2 linked regions of the Oryctolagus cuniculus genome follow. The protein of the gene in region 2 binds, or shares a complex with, the protein of the main gene of each other region. Links are inferred from orthologs where the notes say so. Each region holds a gene or a part of one and is shown on either strand. Other genes may lie near its edges.

Region 1 (10,431 bases), on a different chromosome or scaffold from region 2:
GGGGCGGGGTCTCCTCCCGCCGGTCCAGTCCCCGGAGGCCGGGCCGGGCCGGGCCGGGTCAGAGCAGGTGCGGGGCCCGGGCCGGCAGCCAGGACTCGGGCCAGTGCCCGAATGGGGCCCGAGCGGCCCCTGCCGTCCACGGGGAGGCCCAGCCCTGGCTTAGGGGCATTGGGGAGTGGACGGCGGGGGGGCGCCAGGCGGTCGTCCGCGCCCCCGTTCTCCCCGACGCCCGCGGCTGGGCCCGGCGGCTGACACGGGAGAGCCCGCGTGGGTGCGCCCGGGAGGGGCTGGGGGCTGCCTCCTGGGGTCTCCGGCCCCCGCCGCGTCCTGAGGGCCCCCCCCGGTCTGGGCTCCGCAGGCTTCTCCGGCGCTGAGGTCCGCAGGCCGGCACCATGGACTTCCAGCACCGCCCCGGCGGCAAGACCGGGAGTGGGGGCGTGGCCTCCTCCTCCGAGAGCAACCGGGACCGCCGCGAGCGCCTGCGGCAGCTGGCCCTGGAGACCATCGACATCAACAAGGTAGGGCCGCCCGCCCGCCCCCCCGCGGGGCGCCCCCGACGCCCCCGACGCGCCCGACGCCCCCGACGCCCCTGACGCCCCTGACGCCCCGCGCCGCTCTCCCCCAGGACCCCTACTTCATGAAGAACCACCTGGGCTCCTACGAGTGCAAGCTGTGCCTGACCCTGCACAACAACGAGGTACTGGCCGGCCTGGTACCCTGCCCCCGCCCCTGCCTGCCCCCGCCCCGCCCACCGGCCGGCCTGAACCCCTCGCCCCCGCCCCGCCCACCGGCCGGCCTGGCCCCCCCCCTCCACCGGCCGGCCTGATCCCCCCCCTTCCCGCCCTGTCCACTGGCCGGCCTGGTCCCCCGCTCCTGCCTGCCACCGGCCTGGCCCCGCCCCCAGCCGGCCTGATCCCCCCGCCCCCGGCCTGACCCCCGCCTGCCGCTGCCCCACCCCCCGGCCGGCTTGGTCCCCCCCTCCCGCCCTGTCCACTGTTCGGCCTGGTCCTCCCCCACCCCGCCTGCCGCTACCCCGCCCACCGGCCTGGCCCCGCCCCCGGCCTCATGTCCCGCCTCCTCCACGCAGGGCAGCTACCTCGCACACACTCAAGGGAAGAAGCATCAGACCAACTTGTGAGTGCCCCCCGCGCCCCCCGGCTGTGACACGGGGGAGGGCCCCTTGACCCGCCCCCCAGCCGCAGGGCCCCGCCCCTCACCCCCCCCGCGGGAGCCCAAGGCCGGGCAGGGGGGCTCCTGCACCTGCGCCCGTGGCCTTGGCCTGGTGTGGAGGACCACAGCGCCCGTCTGCCCCGCCCCAGGGCCCGGCGCGCAGCCAAGGAGGCCAAGGAGGCGCCCGCCCAGCCCGCGCCCGAGAAGGTCAAGGTGGAGGTGAAGAAGTTCGTGAAGATCGGACGCCCTGGCTACAAAGGTGAGGGGGCGGGGCCGCCCGACACCAGCCCTGGGCGGGGGGGGGGGGGCAGGCGGGGACAGGCGAGGCCCTGGGCAGGGAGGGGCAGGCGGGGACAGGCGAGGCCGTGGGGCTGTGGGCAGGCGGGGTCCTGGGCACGGAGGGGCAGGCGGGGCTGTGGCGTGCAGCCCTGGGCCGGCCCTCTGAGCTGGGACCTGGGCCTCACCTGCCGCCCTGGGCGGGACGTGGGGCTGCGGGGGGGCCCCTCACCGGCCCTGGTGTTGCAGTGACCAAGCAGCGGGACACGGAGATGGGCCAGCAGAGCCTGCTCTTCCAGGTGGGCGGGGCCGCGGGGTCGGGGGGGGGGCCGCGGGGGCGGGGCCGGGTGGGGGCTGCGGGGGCGGGGGGCAGTGGGGGCTGGGGGCCCCTGACACTGCCCGCCCGCAGATCGACTACCCCGAGATCGCCGAGGGCATCACCCCCCGGCACCGCTTCATGTCGGCCTACGAGCAGAGGATCGAGCCCCCGGACCGGCGCTGGCAGTACCTGCTGATGGCCGCCGAGCCCTACGAGACCATCGCCTTCAAGGTAGGGCCCCCCGCCTCCCTCGGACCCACGGCGCCCCCTCCCCGCCCCGCCCTGGGTCTCGGCACCAGCCCCGCGCCCCCTCCCCACCCCAGGACCCACGGCCGCCCCCCCCCCCCAGGTGCCCAGCAGGGAGATCGACAAGGCCGAGGGCAAGTTCTGGACCCACTGGAACAGGGAGACCAAGCAGGTGAGCCCCGCCCCCACCCGGCCCCCTCCCCCACCCGGGGCAGCCCCGCTGAGCCCACCCCCCCACAGTTCTTCCTGCAGTTCCACTTCAAGATGGAGAAGCCCCCGGCCCCGCCCAGCCTGCCTGCCGGGCCCCCGGGGGTGAAGCGGCCCCCGCCCCCGCTGATGAACGGTCTGCCCCCGCGGCCACCCCTGCCGGAGTCTCTGCCCCCACCCCCACCCGGCGGCCTGCCCCTGCCGCCCATGCCCCCCACGGGGCCCGCACCCTCGGGGCCCCCCGGGCCTCCCCAGCTGCCCCCTCCAGCCCCAGGAGTGCACCCCCCCGCCCCGGTGGTCCACCCCCCCACGTCTGGGGTCCACCCGCCAGCCCCCGGGGTCCACCCCCCGGCTCCCGTGGTGCACCCCCCGGCTCCTGTGGTGCACCCCCCGGCTTCTGGGGTGCACCCCCCTGCTCCGGGGGTCCACCCCCCAGCCCCGGGGGTCCACCCTCCAGCGCCAGGGGTCCACCCCCCAGCCCCCGGGGTCCACCCCCCAGCGCCGGGGGTCCACCCTCCCCCAGCGGCTGGAGTTCATCCTCAGGCCCCGGGGGTGCACCCGCCGGCACCCGCTGTCCACCCCCAGGCCCCAGGGGTCCACCCAGCGGCCCCCGGGATCCACCCCCAGGCCCCGGGGGTCCACCCCCAGCCCCCTGGCGTCCATCCTGCGGCTGCTGGGGTCCACCCCCAGCCGCCTGGCGTCCACCCCTCCAACCCCGGGGTGCACCCTGCTGCCCCCATGCCCCCAATGCTGAGGCCCCCGCTCCCCTCCGAAGGCCCCGGGAACATCCCTCCCCCTCCCCCCGCCAACTGAGAGGCCCCCCGCCCCCGAGCCTGGTCCTCTGTGCCCCCCTCCCCACCTTGGTTTATTAAACGTTTTCTAGGGCCTGAGTGGACGCTGTGTCTGGGGAGGGGTGCGGGGGTGGGCTGGAGCCTGAGTGGCCGCTGGGGGGGGCTGGGGCTTGAGTGGACCATTGTGTCTGGGGGACTCGGGGGAGGGCGGGGCTGGGGCCTGAGTGGCCGCTGGGGGAGGCTCAGGGAGCCCGTCTGGCCGGGCTGCCCGCCCGTGTGCAGAGGGGTTCCCGCCTGTGTCTGGGTCTGGCCGCGGGGTCCAGACGGAGGCCTCTCAAGGACACGGCCCTGCGATAGGGACAGAGGCAGCCCTGAGCGGGCGTCTCCTGCCCACCGGGGCGTGCGTGTCCCCAAGGCCACCGGGGAGACGCCCCCACGCTGCCCAGACATTCCTCCCTGGCCCATAAAAGCCGGCCTCCGCGCCCTGCAGCACCGCCATGCCGGGTCTGCCTCTCGCCCTGCTGCTGCTGCTGCTGCGGCTGCTGGCCCCCGAGACCCCCGGGGCGGGGGCGGGGGCGGCCGGCAGCGCGGGCCAGCTGCTCTTCGGCCAGGACTGGGGCTGGCCAGCGGGCGGCCCGCGGGAGCCCCTGTGCCTGGTGACCCTGGGCGGGGCGGCCCTGCGGGTGGTGGGGGCCCCGAGCGGCCACGAGACCGCCTTCCTGGAGGCCGTGCGGGGGGCTCGCTGGGGCCCCCGCGACCTCGACACCTTCGGGGTCTGCAGCCCCAGCCCCGCGCAGGCGGCCCTGCCGGCGCTGCGGCGGCTGGCGGCCCGGCTGGGGGAGCCGGGGGAGCCGGGGGCGCCGCGGCTGTGGGTCCTGCACCTGGAGGAAGGTAGGTGCCCGCCCCCGCCGTCTGGAGGAGGGTGCGCGGGGCGGGCCTGGCCGACGCGCTCAGCGCCGCCTGCCCTGTGCAGTGACCTGGGAGCCCACGCCCTCCTTGAGGTTCCAGAGGCCCCCGCCCGGAGGCGCCCACCCGCTGGAGCTGGCGCTGCTGGTGCTGTACCCCGCGCCCGGCCCCGCCGTCACCGCCAGCGGGCCCGGGCTGCCGGGGGCCCAGGTGACCAGCGGGTTGCATGCGGCGGTCCCGGGCCCCAGGGGAGGGGGCGGGGGTCTTCCGAAGGCCTGAGCGTCCGCGGCTGGCGCCCAGGGCATGGGCGGGGGGCGGGGGGGTGCCGCGGCAGGTGCCCCGCCCCAGCCTGCCGTGCCCCGCCCCCGCAGAGCCTCTGCCCGACGGCGGACACCCGCTACTCGGCGCTGGTGGTGGCCCAGCCGGCGGAGGCGTGGCGCGGCTCTGGGCTCTCGCTGACCCTGCGGCCCCGCGGAGACGGTAGGCGGGGGCGGGGGCGGGGGCGGGGCGGCCGGCGCGGCTCCGGGCCCTGAGCCGCCGGCGTCTCCGCGCAGGGCCCCCCCTGAGCACCGCCCAGCTGCAGGCGCTGCTGTTCGGCGCAGACCCCCGCAGCTTCACGCGGAAGACCCCGGCCCTGCTGCTGCTGCCGCAGTCCCCCGCGCCACTGCCTGCGCACGGCCAGCTGGACACGGTGCCCTTCCCGCCGCCCCGGTGCGCGCAGGCCCGAGCCGGGGACAGGGAGGTGGGCGTGGCGCCGCGCCGCCACTGCCCCCAATTCCGCTCTCTGCCTCTGCGTTCCAGGCCGTCCCCGGCGCCGGAGGAGCCGCCGCCCAGCGCCGACCCCTTCCTGGAGACGCTCACGCGCCTGGTGCGGGTGCTGCGGGGCACCCCGGCGCGCGCCTCCCCGCCGCGCCTGTCCCTGGACCCCGGAGCGCTGGCCGGCTTCCCGCAGGGCCCGGTCAACCTGTCGGACCCCGCGGCACTGGAGCGCCTGCTGGACGGCGAGGAGCCCCTGCTACTGCTGCTCCCGCCCTCCGCGCCCACCGCCGGGGACCCCGCCCAGCCGCAGGACCCCGCGTCCGCGCCGTGGGCCGAGGGCCTGGCGCGCCGCGTGGCCGCGGAGCTGCAGGCGGCGGCCGCCGAGCTCCGCGGCCTCCCGGGCCTGCCGCCCGCCGCCGCCCCGCTGCTGGCGCGCCTGCTCGAGCTGTGCCCCGGCGACCCCCGGGCCCCGGGCGGCGCCCTGCGCGCCCTGCTGCTGCTGAAGGCCCTGCAGGGCCTGCGCAGCGAGTGGCGCGGGCAGGACGCGCGTGGGGCGGCGCGGGCGCAGCGCAGCGCGGGGGCCGCCGCCGCCGCCGCCGGGCCGTGCGCGCTGCGTGAGCTCAGCGTGGACCTGCGGGCCGAGCGCTCCGTGCTCATCCCCGAGACCTACCAGGCCAACGACTGCCAGGGCGCGTGCGCCTGGCCGCAGTCCGACCGCAACCCGCGCTACGGCAACCACGTGGTGCTGCTGTTGAAGATGCAGGCGCGCGGCGCCGCCCTGGCGCGCGCGCCCTGCTGCGTGCCCACCGCCTACGCGGGCAAGCTGCTCATCAGCCTGTCGGAGGAGCGCATCAGCGCGCACCACGTGCCCAACATGGTGGCCACCGAGTGCGGCTGCCGGTGACCCCCGCGCCAGCGCCCCTCACCTATTTATTCGCACCCAATAAAGACAAGCGAGCGAGCACCGGCTGGGGTCTCCGTGTGTGTCTGGGAGCCCGTGGGGGTCCCCCCGCCTGTCCCCGGGGGCCCCCAGGCTGCAGGTGCTAAGGAGGCGGCGGCCGCGGCACTGGTTTTATTTTGCAGGAGTGGGCACGGCGTGCTGGGGCGCGCGCTCAGTCCCGCCCCTTGCCCGCGCGCGGCTTCTGGCGGCCCGGGAGCCGGTCCTCGCGGTCGTGGCGCCGCGGCGAAGCCCGGGCCTGCCTCTTGCTGCGCCCGGGGTCCCTGGAGTCCCGCGCCCACGGCCCACGGCCCCCTTCGCGCGTCTCCCAGCGCCGGGGAAGGGCTTCCCGGGGCTCCTCGGACTGCGGCCGCGTCCTCCGCGGCCTGGTCCTCCGCGGCTTGTCCTTGGGCCCGCGGTCCACGCGGGGCGCGTGCTTCTCGGCGGCCTCTGCGGGGTCTCCTCCGGGCTCTGCCTCCGCCTCGTCTGCAGCCCCCAGGCTCCCTCTGTCCTCCGCCTCCGCCGGGGGCTCAGGCCGTGCAGTGGCGGGGGCCAGGACGGGGGGCTGCGGCTGCCACGGGGACATTTGGGGGTCCTGAGGTCAGCGCCCACCTCCCGGGTCCCGGCCCGTCCTCCCGCGATCACTCAACGGAGGATGCTCACCAGGGGCGCCACCGGTTCCTTCCTGGGCAGGCTCGGTGGGACCCACGGCTCGGGGACGGGCGCTGGGGCTGTGGCCTCCCCAAGGACAGCATCTGGGGGACCCCGGCGGGAAAGCGAGTCAGCCAGGGCGGGGACACGCCGGCGACCCCTTCTCGGCCCCCCAGCCCAGGACAGACGTAGGGGGCCTGACTCCCAGGGTCTTCCTGCTTCCTGTTTTGGGGAGCAGGAGCACCCCAGGGCCGGAGTGGGGGCCCCCGAAGCCCACGGCCACGTAGGTCCTGGGCTCCGGTCTGGAGGAAGGGGGCGGGCGCGCGCTGCTCCAGGCCGGGGGCGGGGGTTGGGGGGGACGTAGGCCAGGAGCTGGGCGTGTGGGGGGGGCGCTGCTCCAGGCCGGGGGCGGGGGTTGGGGGGGACGTAGGCCAGGAGCTGGGGTGGGTGGCGGGCGCGCGCTGCTCCAGGCCGGGGCCGGGGGTTGGGGGGGACGTAGGCCAGGAGCTGGGCGTGTGGGGGGGCGCTGCTCCAGGCCGGAGGCGGGGGTTGGGGGGGACGTAGGCCAGGAGCTGGGCGTGGGGGGCGGGCGCGCGCGCTCACCGCGGCACAGCTGCAGCGCCGAGCCCAGGAGCGCCAGCAGAGCGGCTAGCACCAGGCACGTGTTGAGCGACGCGGCCCCCCAGGGCAGCTCCTCGCTGGGCGCCGGCGGAGGCGGCGGTGGCGGTGCGGCCTGCGGCTTCCTGCGCGCGGGGGCGCTGCGGGAGGCTGCAGGGGCAAGTGGGGGGCGCGCTCTGATCTCCACGCACAGAACCCCTCCCCCCCGCTCGGCCCTGCCCTCTCCCCGCCCCCCGCATGCCTGCTGCAAACCCACTGGTGCCAGCTCTCGGTCTGTCCCGCCCGGGTCCTGGGGCGCCCCTGGCCGCGGGCTCCTTGTCCGTCTTCTTGGGTCTGGCGTCCACGCCGCTCCCTGCCCCCGGCTCCCGAGAGTCCTGCGGGAATCGCCCGTGCTGGTGCTTCCTCGGCCCGTGCGTGCCCAGGAGCGCGCGGAGGGAGCTGACCCCAGAGAAACCCAGCCCCTGGGCGTCCCACACTCCCAGGACCCCAGCTACTCACCGGGGACCAGCTGCCGGAGTGGGCCAGCCCGGGAGACCCTGTGGCCGGAGCAAGGGGGCAGATCAGGGTGGGAGGGGGCACCGCCAGACCCCCCCGGCCCTGCTGCAGAGACCCGGCCACAGAGGACCGCACTCCGTGGCTCCCGGGAGCTCACCCCCTCTGCTGACCTAGCACCCCCGCTTTTCCGGGGGCTCCTTAGACCCCCAGGCAGGGCAGGGGGCAGGGGTTGGGGCCGCAACGTGAGCCCCCCCCCCCCCGGGCAGAGCCAGGCCTCAGGGTTTGCCGCGGGGTTGGCTCCACGCCGCCGGCCACGCACCTGCAGCCTTGTCTTCCGGGGGCCGCCCTGGGCAGGGCTCAGCCAGGACAGAGAGGTCCTCGCCGGCCGGGCAGCTGCCCAGGCCTCCGTCCGGCTCCTCCAGGGTTGTCATGGGGACAGCGGCGGGGCAGGGCCGCCGGGCAGAGTGGGCCACGGGGAATTCCTGCGAACCAACCCAGCCCTGCGTCTCGTGGGGTTGATCTCGGTCCCTCCCCGTCGGCCCCCACGCCTCCCCTCTACCAGAGACCCCCGAAGCCACACAGCAGCGAGTCGGAGACCAGCCCCGGTCAGCTCCTGTTCTCTGAGACCAGGGCTATTTTTAGACGGTGCCCACGGCCAGCAGGCCAGGCCGGAGGGTGACCCAGCCCCGCCCAGGCCTCTGCTCCCCGGGGTCTCCCTCCAACCCTCCAGCCGCGCTCTGGGCGCCGGATCCCCGCCCGTCTGACCCGGGGATCCCAGGGGCTCCGAACCTGCCTGACTCGGGCCGCGGCAGGTCAAGCCCCCCCCCCCCCGAGGCCTGGGTCCCCCCCAGGGCCGTGCCCCCCCTCCACCTCTGTTCCCAGATGCCGGATGGGGAGACAGGCGGAGCCGCAGCGGCCGGCGGAGGCCAACTGACTGGACCCAACGCTCTGTTTCCCCAGGGGGGTCCCCACCCCCCGGGGGACGACCGCCCGGCTGGGGCTCTGAGTGGGGAGGGGGCTGCAGCCTGAGGGGGGGGAGGCCCAGAGCCCTGCAGCGTCTCCTGCAGCTCCCGCCCCAGACCCCGAGAGCCCCTGGGCCGCCCCCAGCCCCTCTTACCCCACAGCCGCTGCGCGGGCCTGGTGCTCTGGGCAGACCAGGAAGGGTGGCCCTGGGACTGACAGCGACAGGTGTCGGGGACAGCTGAGTGGACCAATCAGAGAGGGCCCGAGCCGAGTGTGGGGGAGGGGCTGGCAGGAGGAAGCTGCAGAGGGTGTCCCCGCTGAGGAGGGGCCCCCCAGGCCCACCCCAGCAGGCAGCAGGGACCTGGGTTGAGCCCCGAGTGATGGAGGGGGCTGGGGTCCACTGTCCCCTGGCCGCCCTCTGGGGCAGCTGCAGCTGGGGGCAGACTCCTGGAGAGCTCCCTGGAGGGGGGGCCGCCTTCCCCACGCCTGTGGAGCCCGGGCTGTGCCTCCTGCTCACTGGAGGTGGAGCGCAGACCACTGGGTGCCCCTGCCGCCGGCTCAGCCACAGGGGCGGGACCTCACAGAGCCACGCCAACCACACCGCACCAGCCTCTCACCTGTGCTTGGGTTAAGATCTGAAAGGCAGAGAGGGAGGGAGGGGAGAGAGGGAGGGAGGGAGGGAGGGAGGGGGAGGGAGAGAGAGGGAGGGAGGGAGGGAGGAGGGGGGGGAGAGAGGGGGGAGAGAGAGGGGAGAGAGAGGGAGGGAGAGAGGGAAGGAGGGAGGGTGAGGGAGAGGGGGAGAGAGGGAGGGAGAAGGAAGGGAGGGAGAGAGGGAGAGGGAGGGAGAGAGAGAGAGGGAAGGAGGGAGGGGGAGAGAGGAGGAGGGAGGGAGGGGGAGAGAGGGAGAGAGGGAAGGAGGGAGGGGAGAGAGGGAGGGGGAGAGAGTGAGACGTAGGGAGGGAGAGAGAGGGAGAGAGGTAGAGGGAGGGAGAGAGAGAGAGGGAGAAGGAGAGAGGGAGGGGGAGAGAGAGGGAGGGAGGGAGAGAGGTAGGGAGGGGGAGAGAGAGAGAGGGAGAAGGAGAGAGGGAGGGGGGAGAGAGAGGGAGGGAGGGGGAGGGAAAGAGAGAGGGACAGAGGGAGGGAGGGAGGGGGAGAGAGAGGGAGAGGCCTTCCATCCGCTGGTTCACTCCCCAAATGGCCACAGTGGCCAGGGCTGGGCAGGGCCAAACCCAGGAGCTCCGTCCGGGTCTCCCAACGGGGTCGGACAAGGGACAGGGACACAGCGTGGCTGTGACCACAGAGACCCACGCTACCGCAGGAGCCGGGACAGCAGGGAGACCCCTCCCTCCCGGGAGCCCGCCCGCCCCTTGGCCCCAGGGCCCCACTGTTCGTGGTCACTTGGCCCAGGGGCTGCTGCTGGCCCTGCCCCTCCCCGCCCCGTGGGCGGCCACCCCAAGGGCCGCAGGCGGTGGACCCCAGCCAGCGGCCGCCCGCCCCACGGGGAGCCACCAGCCCGCCCCACGGGGAGCCACCAGCCCGGGGCCGGGTCCCCCGACTCCAGAACCTTCCGTCGCGGTCGCGGCCACGCAGGCTGCTCAGCCCTCCTGCTGCTTCTTGTTTCACCTTCCCTTTGTGGGGGCAAAGCCGGTCTCATTCGCAATCTCCACACGGGCGCCGGTTCCAGTCCCGGCTGCTCCACTCCCGATCCTGCCCTCTGCTCTGGCCTGGGACAGCAGTGGACGATGGCCCAAGTCCTGGGCCCCTGCCCCCGCGTGGGAGACCCGGATGGAGCTCCTGGAGGAAGCTCCTGGCTCCTGGTTCCGGATCGGCCCAGCTCCAGCCACTGCGGCCATTTGGGGAGTGACCCAGTGGATGGAAGACCCCTCCCTCTCCCTCCCCCTCTCCCTCTCTCTCCCTCTCCCTCTCTCCCTCCCCCTCTCTCTCTCCCCCTCTCCCTGCCTCTCTCTCCCTCTCCCTCTCTCTCCCCCCTTCTCTCCCTCTCTCTCTCTCCCCCCTCCCTTCTCTCCCTCTACCTCTCTCTCTCTCTCCCTCTCTCTCTGCCCCAGACAGCAGGGAGGCGAGGCGGGCGAGGC
Region 2 (9,292 bases):
CTGTGCCACAAAGCCAGCCCCACCTTGACAGTTTTGAGTGGTACTGAGCAGGTACTTTGTAAAATGCCCCTCTATTTGGATGGATCTGTTCCTTTTGTAGTCATAGTTTTATTTTTTTTGTAGCATAGCCTCATGTTCATCATCATGTTTATATATTCTTTTCATGTCGCATTATCTTTTTCTCATAATTTATGGAGTTGTCCTAAACATAATTTTAAAATTATTTTATGTATTTATTTTAAAGTCAGAGCAATAGAGACAAGGAAAGATGGAGAGGGAGAGAGAGAGAGAGAGGTCTTCCATCTGCTGCTCCACTCCCCAGCTGGCCACAATGGCTGTGGTTGGGTCAGGCCAAAGCCAGGAGCCAGGAATTCTATCCAGGGCCCAAATACCTGGGGCATCATCTTCTGCTTCCCTAGGCATATCAGCAGGGAACTGGATCAGAAGTGGAGTGGCAGCGGGGCGGCCAGTGGGAGAGGAAATGGGTGGATGCTGACATCAGCCCACTGTGCCACAACTCCAGTCCCCTCCTTATTTAAAAGTTGTGTGGGGGCTGGCACTGTGGCATGGTGGGTAAAGCCGCTGCCTGCAGTGCTGACATCCCATATGGGTACTGGTTTGAGTCCTGGATGCTCTACTTCATATCCAGCTCTCTGTTATGGCCTGGGAAAGCAGTAGAAGATGTCCCAAGTCCTTGGGCCCCTGCACCTGCATGGGAGACCCAGAAGAAGCTCCTAACAATAGTAGAACATGGGCAGAGGCGGAGAGGGAGCAGAGCAAGTGGGACCAGACTCAGGCTTAAGGGCTCTCTTAAGAGGTCACACACAATTAACTTCCTAGGACACGCTCCCAAGTCCTAAGGGGCTCTCACTAGGCCCCGCCTCCTAAAGCTTGCACCGCCTCCCAACCCAGGGTGTGTGTGTGTGTGTGTGTGTGTGTGTGTGTGTGAAGTCTAACAGGCAGGCCTTTGTAGGACGCTCAACATTCAAACTATATCCAAACTGTTGCATAGTGGTTTTCGCCTCCGTAAATAATGTTTACAGAAGTGTCATGGAAAACACGAATAGACTGTTGAGCAGAGACATAAAAGTTGTATCTAGAACATATCCAAGGGAGGAGCAGGCATTTAACCTGGCAGTTACGATGCCCACTGGGACACCTGCAGCCCCTATTTTAGTGCCTGGTTTGAGTCCCAGCTACTTTACTTCTGTTCCAGCTTCCTGCTAATGGGCACCCTGGGAGGAAGCTGATGGTGACCCGAGTGCCTGGGTCTCTGCCACCCCCTTGGGTGACCCAGATTAAGTTCCTGGCTCCTGGCTTCAGCCTAGCCCTGCCTTGGCTGTTGCAGGCATTTGGGGAGTGAACCAGCAGACGGACGATCTATGTCTCTGTCTCTCTTCCTTTTGAATAAAGTATAAACAAAAAAATTTTTTGTTAACTAGCTGTAGAGTGGTAAATTAGCCTAGATTAGGGGAAAACAGGCACAGACACAGAAATGGAGGCTGAGCGCCTCAGCACGCCCAGGCCTGGCCTCCACATTCCCCCACTCCCATCACGCCCCCACACTTGTGTTGTCCAGATTACTTGGTTTTCCTGCAGTGCTACCCTTTCTGATTGGGCCAGGATCACCCCCTTCTGCACCCTGCACTCCTGCTAGGTCCAGACCCCCTCATGGTCCCGGGGCCGTGAACGCTTCCTGCTCAGGCCTCCCCTGGTGCTCCCAGGACACTGTACAGAACCCAGCAAGGTGGACTGCAGGTCTCTGGGCAGCTTCAGGGCAGTGACTTCACTGTGTTCAGCTCTCTTTCCCCAGCACCTAACATGAGCCTCATCCCACAGTTTAAATAAACGCTGACAAAGAAGGAAAAGAAGAGCTAAGGGAGGGTCCCAGGATCACCAGAAGGGAGGCAGTCCCAAGGGTGTGAGTTAGGAGAGTGGACTTTATTTCCTTCCTGTGCGCATCTGCCCACGGTCAGGGTCAGTGGACTGAGTGCCCACCAGAGGGTCAGTGGATTTGTCACGGGGTGGGGGAAGGCCACAGAAGCAAAGGCCACGGTTCTTCACGCAAGAAAGAATTCAGGCATGAGACAGAGTGCAGAGTGATAAGGTTTATTGGGGACAGGGCATCTGTCAAAACGGAGGGGACAGACAGAGAGCGCTCAGGGGAAGAGCAAGGTCACATGGTTGAATGAAGAGAATACACCTGGGCAGGCCAGGCGGGCGGCTAGGCAGAGAGGCAGAGGGCTGAGTGCGTGGTCAGTTTGGACTCCCTAGGTTTTTAAGGGAGTCTGTTTACCCACCTCCCTTTCTCCTCCAGGACAAAGAAGGGGGAGCCCTGGTGGAAGGGTTTGTTGAGTGAAAATTTGCAAATTCCTCCCCAGGTTTGCTGGCAAGGGGACTCTGTGAAGGTTTTATTGCCCTGTGTTATCAGATCAGGTAACCCCTTTGGTCCTGAGGAGAGAGAATTCTCCTGGGAGTTTGCCTTGAGGGAAGGGCTGGGACCACCTGGGAGGTTAGCAGGGTCTGGGCAGGACTCTGAAGTGCAAGATGCTGGGTTTCTGGGGCTTCTGCAATGGGTGCTGGTCTTCAGGCCTGTCTCACACACACACACATAGGCTCAATTTCCAGCTTCCTGCCTAACAGATTGGGGAGTGGGAAAACAGTGGAGAGGCAGAGCAGACAGGTATACCAGTGCCATGTTTACGTTTACAGGTGGATTACACACAAACTGCTTATTTACACGTCAGAACTGGCACAGGCAGCTCCGGGGTTCCTGGAGCAAAGGCCTTGCTGAACACCGAAGTGGCAGGCACCCGGCTGTGGGCTGCCGGGGAGGAGAGCAGGGGCAGGGGCAGGAGCAGGGGGCCAGTCTTCTGGGTGGCCGTGTGGACGGCCCTCTGGGCAGGGCTGGGCCTCCTGAGGATGAACCAGGGCCACCAGGCGCTGCTGGACACACTCGGCCGTCAGCCGCGCTTCCGGGTCTGCGTCCCAGCAGTCTTCCAGCAGCTCCCTGAGCCCGCCGGGGTCCTGGGGGAGCGAGCAGGAGGCAGGCTTGACCCCGGGAGCTTGAGTGGCTCCAAGGCTACAGGCATTTTCAGTGCCGCTGCTGTTTCTCCCTGGAGCCTCCCTCCTCTCCCTCTCGCCGAGACAGCTGCCTGAGAGCCTTCCAGAGGGTCCACTTTTCCTCCAAAAGAGCTAATTTGCATAGATAGCTCAACTTGCTAATAGCAAATCCACCCTCCTTCCCCTCCAGCAACCAGGGTCTTTTACAACCACTGTCTGGCTTCTGTCATCTAACCGGACAGACCAGGTAGCAGAGGGGCAGCCTGTTTAGGATGTTATCTGCAGGCCCTTTGCCCCTAGAACTGGCTTTTACTGCGTCCCCCTCGCAGCAGAAACAGATATACAGGCCAGAGCGAGGAGCAAACTTCACTGAATCCTGGGCTCCCGTGCGCTAGGAGAGTCAGCACCTTGGGGCAGACAGCCAGGGGAGGGGGCACCTTGGGACAGGAACAGAGGCAGGGAGAGCTTCCTGGAGGGGAGGATTGAGGAGCAGGGCTAACTGGTGGCAGTGAGGAGGGAGAGACTGCACAAGGCTGGGCGGGACAATGTCATGGGTCTCTGGTGCATGGAGCAGGCTGTGTTAGGGTAGAAGAGCAAGTTTGCCCAGTTCCAGCTGAATGCGAACTAGGAAGTGGGGCATATGGGAGGAGATAGGAGCAGATGAACTTGGCCCTGACAGGGGCGTCCTTGAAGCTCACGCCCAGCCCCCCCTGCTCCAGATCCCTAGGCCACCCGCCTGTGACCTCTTACTGTGGCAAAGCAGCACCAGGAGGATGGGATGTCAGGGCGCCTCCTCTCCTCTACTGCCAGGGCCCACAGCTCACAGGTGGTGGGGGCGCTGCCCAGTTCTGCTTCATAGGCCAGTTGGAAGGGTGGTGGTCTGCCGTCTGGGGGAAGGTGGCAGGGAGGGGGGTCAGTTTCCCTTCCGTGTAGAAAAGCCAGGGAGAAAAAGGTCATAGCTTTCTGAGAACAAGGTCAGGACGTGGTTGGCCCCTAAAATGGGTCAAAGGGGAACCAGGGGAGGGGTCCAACCCCCCCGCCCCATCCATACCAGGCCTCAAATCCGGGCAGCGGCTCAGGATCTCCCACAGGAGCAGGGCCAAGGAGTAGACGTCGGCTCGCCGGAGGGCAGTGCCCCAGTCCTGTAGGTCCAGAGACTTGTCCAAGAGCTCTGGCGCCATGTACCTCTGTGTGCCGGCCTGAAGAAGGCGGTGTGGAGGGCCAGGAATCACCTCTGCCGGGCCCCTCACTGCTGCACTGAACCTCCCCCGCACCCAGCTCCAGACTCAGCAAACATCCTGCACATTGTAAATCCTGCTGCTCTATCCCAAAGACTCCATCCGGCACCCTGGGCCTCACCCTTACCCAGGGCACTCACCTCCATGATGGCCGCTGGGCCTCGGGGCTGCGGAGGGGCCCAGGCACGGGGCTGAGCGAAACCAGGGAGCACCAAGGCCAGGCCCAGGTCTCCAATGGCACATGACCCATCTTCCCGGATGAGCACATTCTGGCTGCTCAGATCTCGGTGGGCAATACCAGGCTTGTACTGGCCTGTGAGGAAACCCGAGGTTCAAGGTCACAGATCTCTTTCTCTTGTAACCCAGTGGGTCTCCTCCAAGCTAAGGAAGCATCGGAAACCTAACAGTGTGGCTGCTTCCCTGCTCCCAGCTCACCTACCATCCTGCCAGCGCTCCTCATGGAGAAATGCCAGGCCCTGGGCTAAAGACAGAGCCATCCTCAGGGAACTTCCCCAGTCACTGGTGTGCTGGCTCAGGTACTGGCACAGGGAGCCCTGGGGTGGAGGGGGAGGAAGCAGAGGGCAGGATGGGACACACACAGCTCCATCCTAGAGAACAGACATCAGTTCACTCCACCACCACCCCCCCTTGCATCTCCCCAGCAGACACCGGGACACATCCAGACCAAGACACAGGCAGCGGAGGGGGAGTGAGAGTGAGCCTCAGACTAATGTGACAAGCAGCAAGTGTGGGTCAGGTGTTCCGAGCATTCCCTGTGGCTTAGGTGGGTGCTCCTAGGGCCTCCACGTGACGGATGAGATTTACAGAGAGTGAAACTGACTTCTCTGAGGTCTGTTAGTGAGAACGTGGACCTTGAATTCAAGCTGACTCACGCATCGCTCACTGTCCACCACCACCCTACCCTGACTCAGAGGACAAAGACGGAAACAGAGGAGGCTGGATGAGCTGTGCAAGGGCATTGCTCGTGACCCGGCTGGCCTGAGGCAGCCAGAGCCCATGGGAAGGGTGAGAGAAGAGCAAATTGCAATAGCAGGGAGAGAGTTCCTCATTCCACGAACGGCAAACACTTCCTGCGTCCAGCAGTTTGCTCAGACACTGGGATGCCCAGGGTCCGGTGAGAGATAACAGTCCCATAAAGTATAGAGTGTGCAATAAACCCCAGGATAGGAACCCGCACTCAGTGTCAAGGGCATAGAATAAGAATGACTAACACTGCAGGGTGGGGTGGGGGACAGAGAGAGAAGCTTAAACAAACAATGCTTTTTGGGCTGGGCCAGTAGCCATGAGGTCGAAGAGAGGGGGCTTTCCAGAATTTAAGATTCCAGGGGTGGAGGAGCTGATCGAGGGCAGCATGTGGGCACCGAAACTTAAACCGGAAAGGCGGGGCTACAGTGGAAATGTGGGAAGAAACAGGCAGCCCAGACGGAGCGGTAAACAGGAGAGAAGTAGCACAGATAAGAGGGGAGCCCTCTGGTCACCCGGATACCAGGCAAACACTCTCCTTTCCTGGGCCCGGGTGGATCATAACTCCTACTTTATAGCGCATTTGTGGAGGTTAAGTTTGAAAGCACGCCTCGGAGCCAGCAGGTTAAGCTGCCCCCTGCGATGCCAGCATCCCATATCAGAGCGCCAGTTGGAATCCCGGTTGCTCCACTCCGCTCCAGCTCCCTGCCGATGTGCCTGGGAAAACAGCAGATGACCCAGAAGCTCCTGGCTCCTGGCTTTGGCCTGACCACCCAGCCCTAGCCACTGTGGCCATTTAGGGGGTGATTTAGCAGATGGAAGACCTCTTTCTCTCTGTCTCTCCCTCCGTGTCACTCTGCCTTTCAAATAAATAAAATAAATCCTCAAAAAATGTGTTGAAACTTCCTATGCAATGCATAGTGCAAAGTAGATGGGGAAAAGGCATGGACTCCAGGAAGAGCTTCAGACCTTGAGCTGGTCTTCCGCCTTTGCTGCTCTGGATCTCCCCCTCGTATTTTCTCTTACAGGATCATGGCCCTCTCTTTTAGCACTTAGAACACACAACATTCCTCTCTTATTTTTCTTCACTCGATCCATTTCTACCTCTGCTTCCAACTAGAAAATCTGTAAAGGCAGTGACTGTTCTTCTTGGTATCGAGTGCTCGCCCTATAGTTTGTAAGTATTTGTTGTTGAGTGAAGACATGAGCAAATTTGGAGGGCAATGCTTGGAGGCATTTCTGCCTTTTTTTTTTTATTTAAAGATTTGTTTTATTTGTTTGAAAACAGAGTTACAGAGAGAGGTAGAGACAGAGAGAGAGAGAGAGGTCTTCCATTCACTGGTTCACTCCCCAAACGGCCGCAACAGCTGGAGCTTGAGTGGATCTGAAGCCAGGAGCCAGGAGCCTTCCCCGGGTCTCCCACATGGGCGAAGGGGTCCAAAGACTTGCGCCATCCTCCACCGCTTTCCCAGGTGCACCAGCAATGAGCTGGATCGGAAGTGGAGCAGCCGGGACTACAACTGGCATTCATATGGGATGCTGGTGCTGTACTCAGTGCTGGCCACAGCATTATTTATTTTGTATTTATTTGAAAGCCAGAGGAACACACAGAGAGATTTTTCCATCAGCTTGATTCACTTTCCTCCAAATACCCACAACAGCCAGGGTTGGCCCAGGCCGAAGACAGGAGCCAGGAACGCCATCCAGGTCTCCTACATGGGTAACAGGGACCCAAAGTACTTGAGTCATCAGTATCTCCCAGGGTGCACATTCGCAGGAAGCTGGAATCAGAAGTGGAGCTGGACTCAAACCCAGACATTCTGACAAGGGATGCAGGCGTTCCAAGGGCTGCCTTGGAGGTATTTCTTTAACAATGATTTTCTTCTTTAAAGTTGGGAATGTTTTAATTTCTGCCTTGCTGTATCTAATATATGGACTAAAAATATTAACATGTATAATTTGTGTAATAAAAAAGAAAAATCACCTTTAGCGTTTTAGAGAAAATATGAAGCAAAAGATGAAGTGTGGCTAGGGTCTAGCTTCCGTGCAACCCCTAACCCCGTATAAACACACAGGCGGGGCCAGCACTGTGGGCGTAGCCGGAAAAGCCGCTGCCTGCAGTGCCAGCATACTATATGGGCGCCAGTTCTAGTCCCGGCTGCTCCACTTCCCATCCAGCTCTCTGCTATGCCTGAGAAAGCAGTGGAGGATGGCCCAAGTCCATGGGCCCCTGCACCCATGTGGAGACCTGGAAGAAGCTCCTGGCTCCAGATCAGCCCAGCTCCAGCCGTTGCAGCCATTTGGGGAGTGAAGCAGCAGATGGGAAGACCTCTCTCTCTGCCTCTCCTCTCTGTGTGTGTAATTCTGACTTTCAAAAAACTAACCAAAACAAAAAACACATAGGCACACATTCCTTGGTGCTTACCTTGGGGTGCAGTTCCAGTACCAGCAGGGGCCCAGAGGGCAGGGGGCCGGGTCCCCCCTGGCCAGCAGCGATAAATCGGACAACGTGGTTGTGCTGCAGGCCCGGCAGCTCATACAAGGCTCTCTCAGCTCGGAACTGGGCCACGGCCCTCCGGGGGAAGACCTTGATGGCCACCAGCTCCCCTTGCAGCTGCCCAGCCCACACTGCCGCGTGACCTCCTTCCCGGATGACCTGGTGGGGAACCTGTGCTGGGTGTGGACCTCTGAGCTAGAACCAGGGCCAGGCTTCCTCCCCAGCACGACCTCCAGGAGGACCCAGAAGAACCCAGCCCTGCCTCCCTCCCTGGGGCACCTGGGAGAAGCACAGCTGGGGCAGCTCCGGCAGCTCCTCACTGCAGTCCCTGCCTGAGTCTGGCTCTGGCTCTGGCCCACTCTGCACCCTGTAGGCCTTTCGCTGGAGCAGAGCTGGGGCAGAGAAGAGCCGTGGGGTCAAGGGTACACGGGCACAGAGACCGGGAAGGGGCTTTTGTGGGGCGGGAGTTTTGGTGAGAGGTCAGGGGTCGGGGTGAGAGGTGCCTGGAGAGGGATTGGAACTTTGGGGCGGGGGGTGGGGCAGAGCAGTACCCACGACAATACCGCCCAGCAGCAGCAGCAGCAGCAGCAGGACCAGCCCCAGCAGCGCCAGTGCCATCCAGGGGGACTCACCTGCACATGAAGGCAAGAACCAGCCTGCAAGCCCTGCCCCAAACCCTGCGGTTGGCTCTTCTTCCCCTCCTCACCGAGCTTGCTTCTCAACCCACCCCCACCTTGGTCGCCAGCCCCCTTATCTCCCGTCACCAGGGCAACCAACTTCCCAAGGCCAGGAGGAGGAAAGCTTGGGGCAGGGAGGTAGGGTGAGAACTGGCCCTGTTTCTGCCTCTCATGCTAACCTAGGCCCCAACCCCCACGGGGTTCCAGTACCCCTGGGTTGTAGCTACCTGGGGCAGCCTGGGGACCCTGGGGGCCAGGAGTCCCAGGGCCCCCCAGAGGAGGCAGATGGCTGTAGTTGGCATTGCAGAAGTCAGCACCACAGGAGCAGGTGAAGAGAGTGGAGCCAGAGCTGGCGCGGGCTCGGGGGCTCGGGTCACAGCTAAGGGACTCACAGCCTGGCTCGTCACTGTCTCGGCATCCTGACGGGTTGGGATTCGGGGAAGAGGAGAGAGAGAAGGAGTGGGGGAGAGAACACAGCGGGGTCTGGGATAAATCCCTTCTCTATCAAAGGCGTCCCTTCCCACTCACGTGGGCTTTTCTTTCCCTCCACACATTCCATTTCCCCCTTCCTCCTCAGCGCCGCCCGCCCCCACCCTAGCTATCACCTGCCATTCACCTTGCATCTCCACCTGTGCCTGGTCTCGGGTTAGGTTCCAGATCCCAAAGCAGCAGCGGCTGTAGAGGCAGCGGATAACCCTGGGGGGCCCTGGTCCTGCATCTAGCAGCTCCCCCAGTGTCTTTGTGCTTCCCCGCACTCCAGGGGCCTCAAAGAACACACAGGTCCTCCTGTTTGGGGGTGCTGAGGCCCAGGATGGGGAAAGGAGAGGATTCAA

The links.
Region 1: the proteins of AMHR2 (region 2) and AMH are in contact, whole or in part, in a crystal structure (PDB 7L0J), measured with the Homo sapiens proteins. The link is inferred for Oryctolagus cuniculus from reciprocal best matches to the Homo sapiens genes AMHR2 and AMH. Residues at the interface, in NP_065434.1 of Homo sapiens: Gly31, Val32, Arg33, Gly34, Ser35, Thr36, Thr38, Leu39, Phe62, Ile64, Glu75, Met76, Arg80, Asp81, Ser82, Glu84, Pro85, Ser95, Arg97, Ala98, Pro100, Ser101, Leu106, Thr108; in NP_000470.3 of Homo sapiens: Leu471, Arg472, Glu474, Val477, Leu478, Ile479, Pro480, Glu481, Thr482, Tyr483, Gln484, Lys534, Leu535, Ile537, Leu539, Glu542, Arg543, Ile544, Ser545, Ala546.

Annotation. Positions count from the first base shown.
Region 1 is NC_091447.1:59,112,398-59,122,828, forward strand, and holds AMH (muellerian-inhibiting factor), read left to right. Parts: upstream 1-3,372; 5' UTR 3,373-3,506; coding exon 3,507-4,395; intron 4,396-4,469; coding exon 4,470-4,626; intron 4,627-4,716; coding exon 4,717-5,578; 3' UTR 5,579-5,642; downstream 5,643-10,431. Other genes in the region: SF3A2 (splicing factor 3A subunit 2), read left to right, coding at 393-518, 626-697, 1,088-1,134, 1,320-1,429, 1,696-1,745, 1,856-1,996, 2,115-2,183, 2,252-3,031; JSRP1 (junctional sarcoplasmic reticulum protein 1), read right to left, coding at 5,787-6,182, 6,275-6,366, 6,866-7,030, 7,137-7,254, 7,379-7,416, 7,695-7,806. UniProt on the Homo sapiens protein: Plays an important role in several reproductive functions. Induces Muellerian duct regression during male fetal sexual differentiation. Also plays a role in Leydig cell differentiation and function.
Region 2 is NC_091442.1:56,421,061-56,430,352, reverse strand, and holds the end of AMHR2 (anti-Muellerian hormone type-2 receptor), read right to left. Parts: intron 9,259-9,292; coding exon 9,076-9,258; intron 8,879-9,075; coding exon 8,687-8,878; intron 8,415-8,686; coding exon 8,334-8,414; intron 8,175-8,333; coding exon 8,062-8,174; intron 7,942-8,061; coding exon 7,711-7,941; intron 4,856-7,710; coding exon 4,741-4,855; intron 4,615-4,740; coding exon 4,442-4,614; intron 4,263-4,441; coding exon of another isoform or gene 4,206-4,262; coding exon 4,115-4,205; intron 3,951-4,114; coding exon 3,814-3,950; intron 3,028-3,813; coding exon 2,737-3,027; 3' UTR 2,094-2,736; downstream 1-2,093. UniProt on the Homo sapiens protein: On ligand binding, forms a receptor complex consisting of two type II and two type I transmembrane serine/threonine kinases.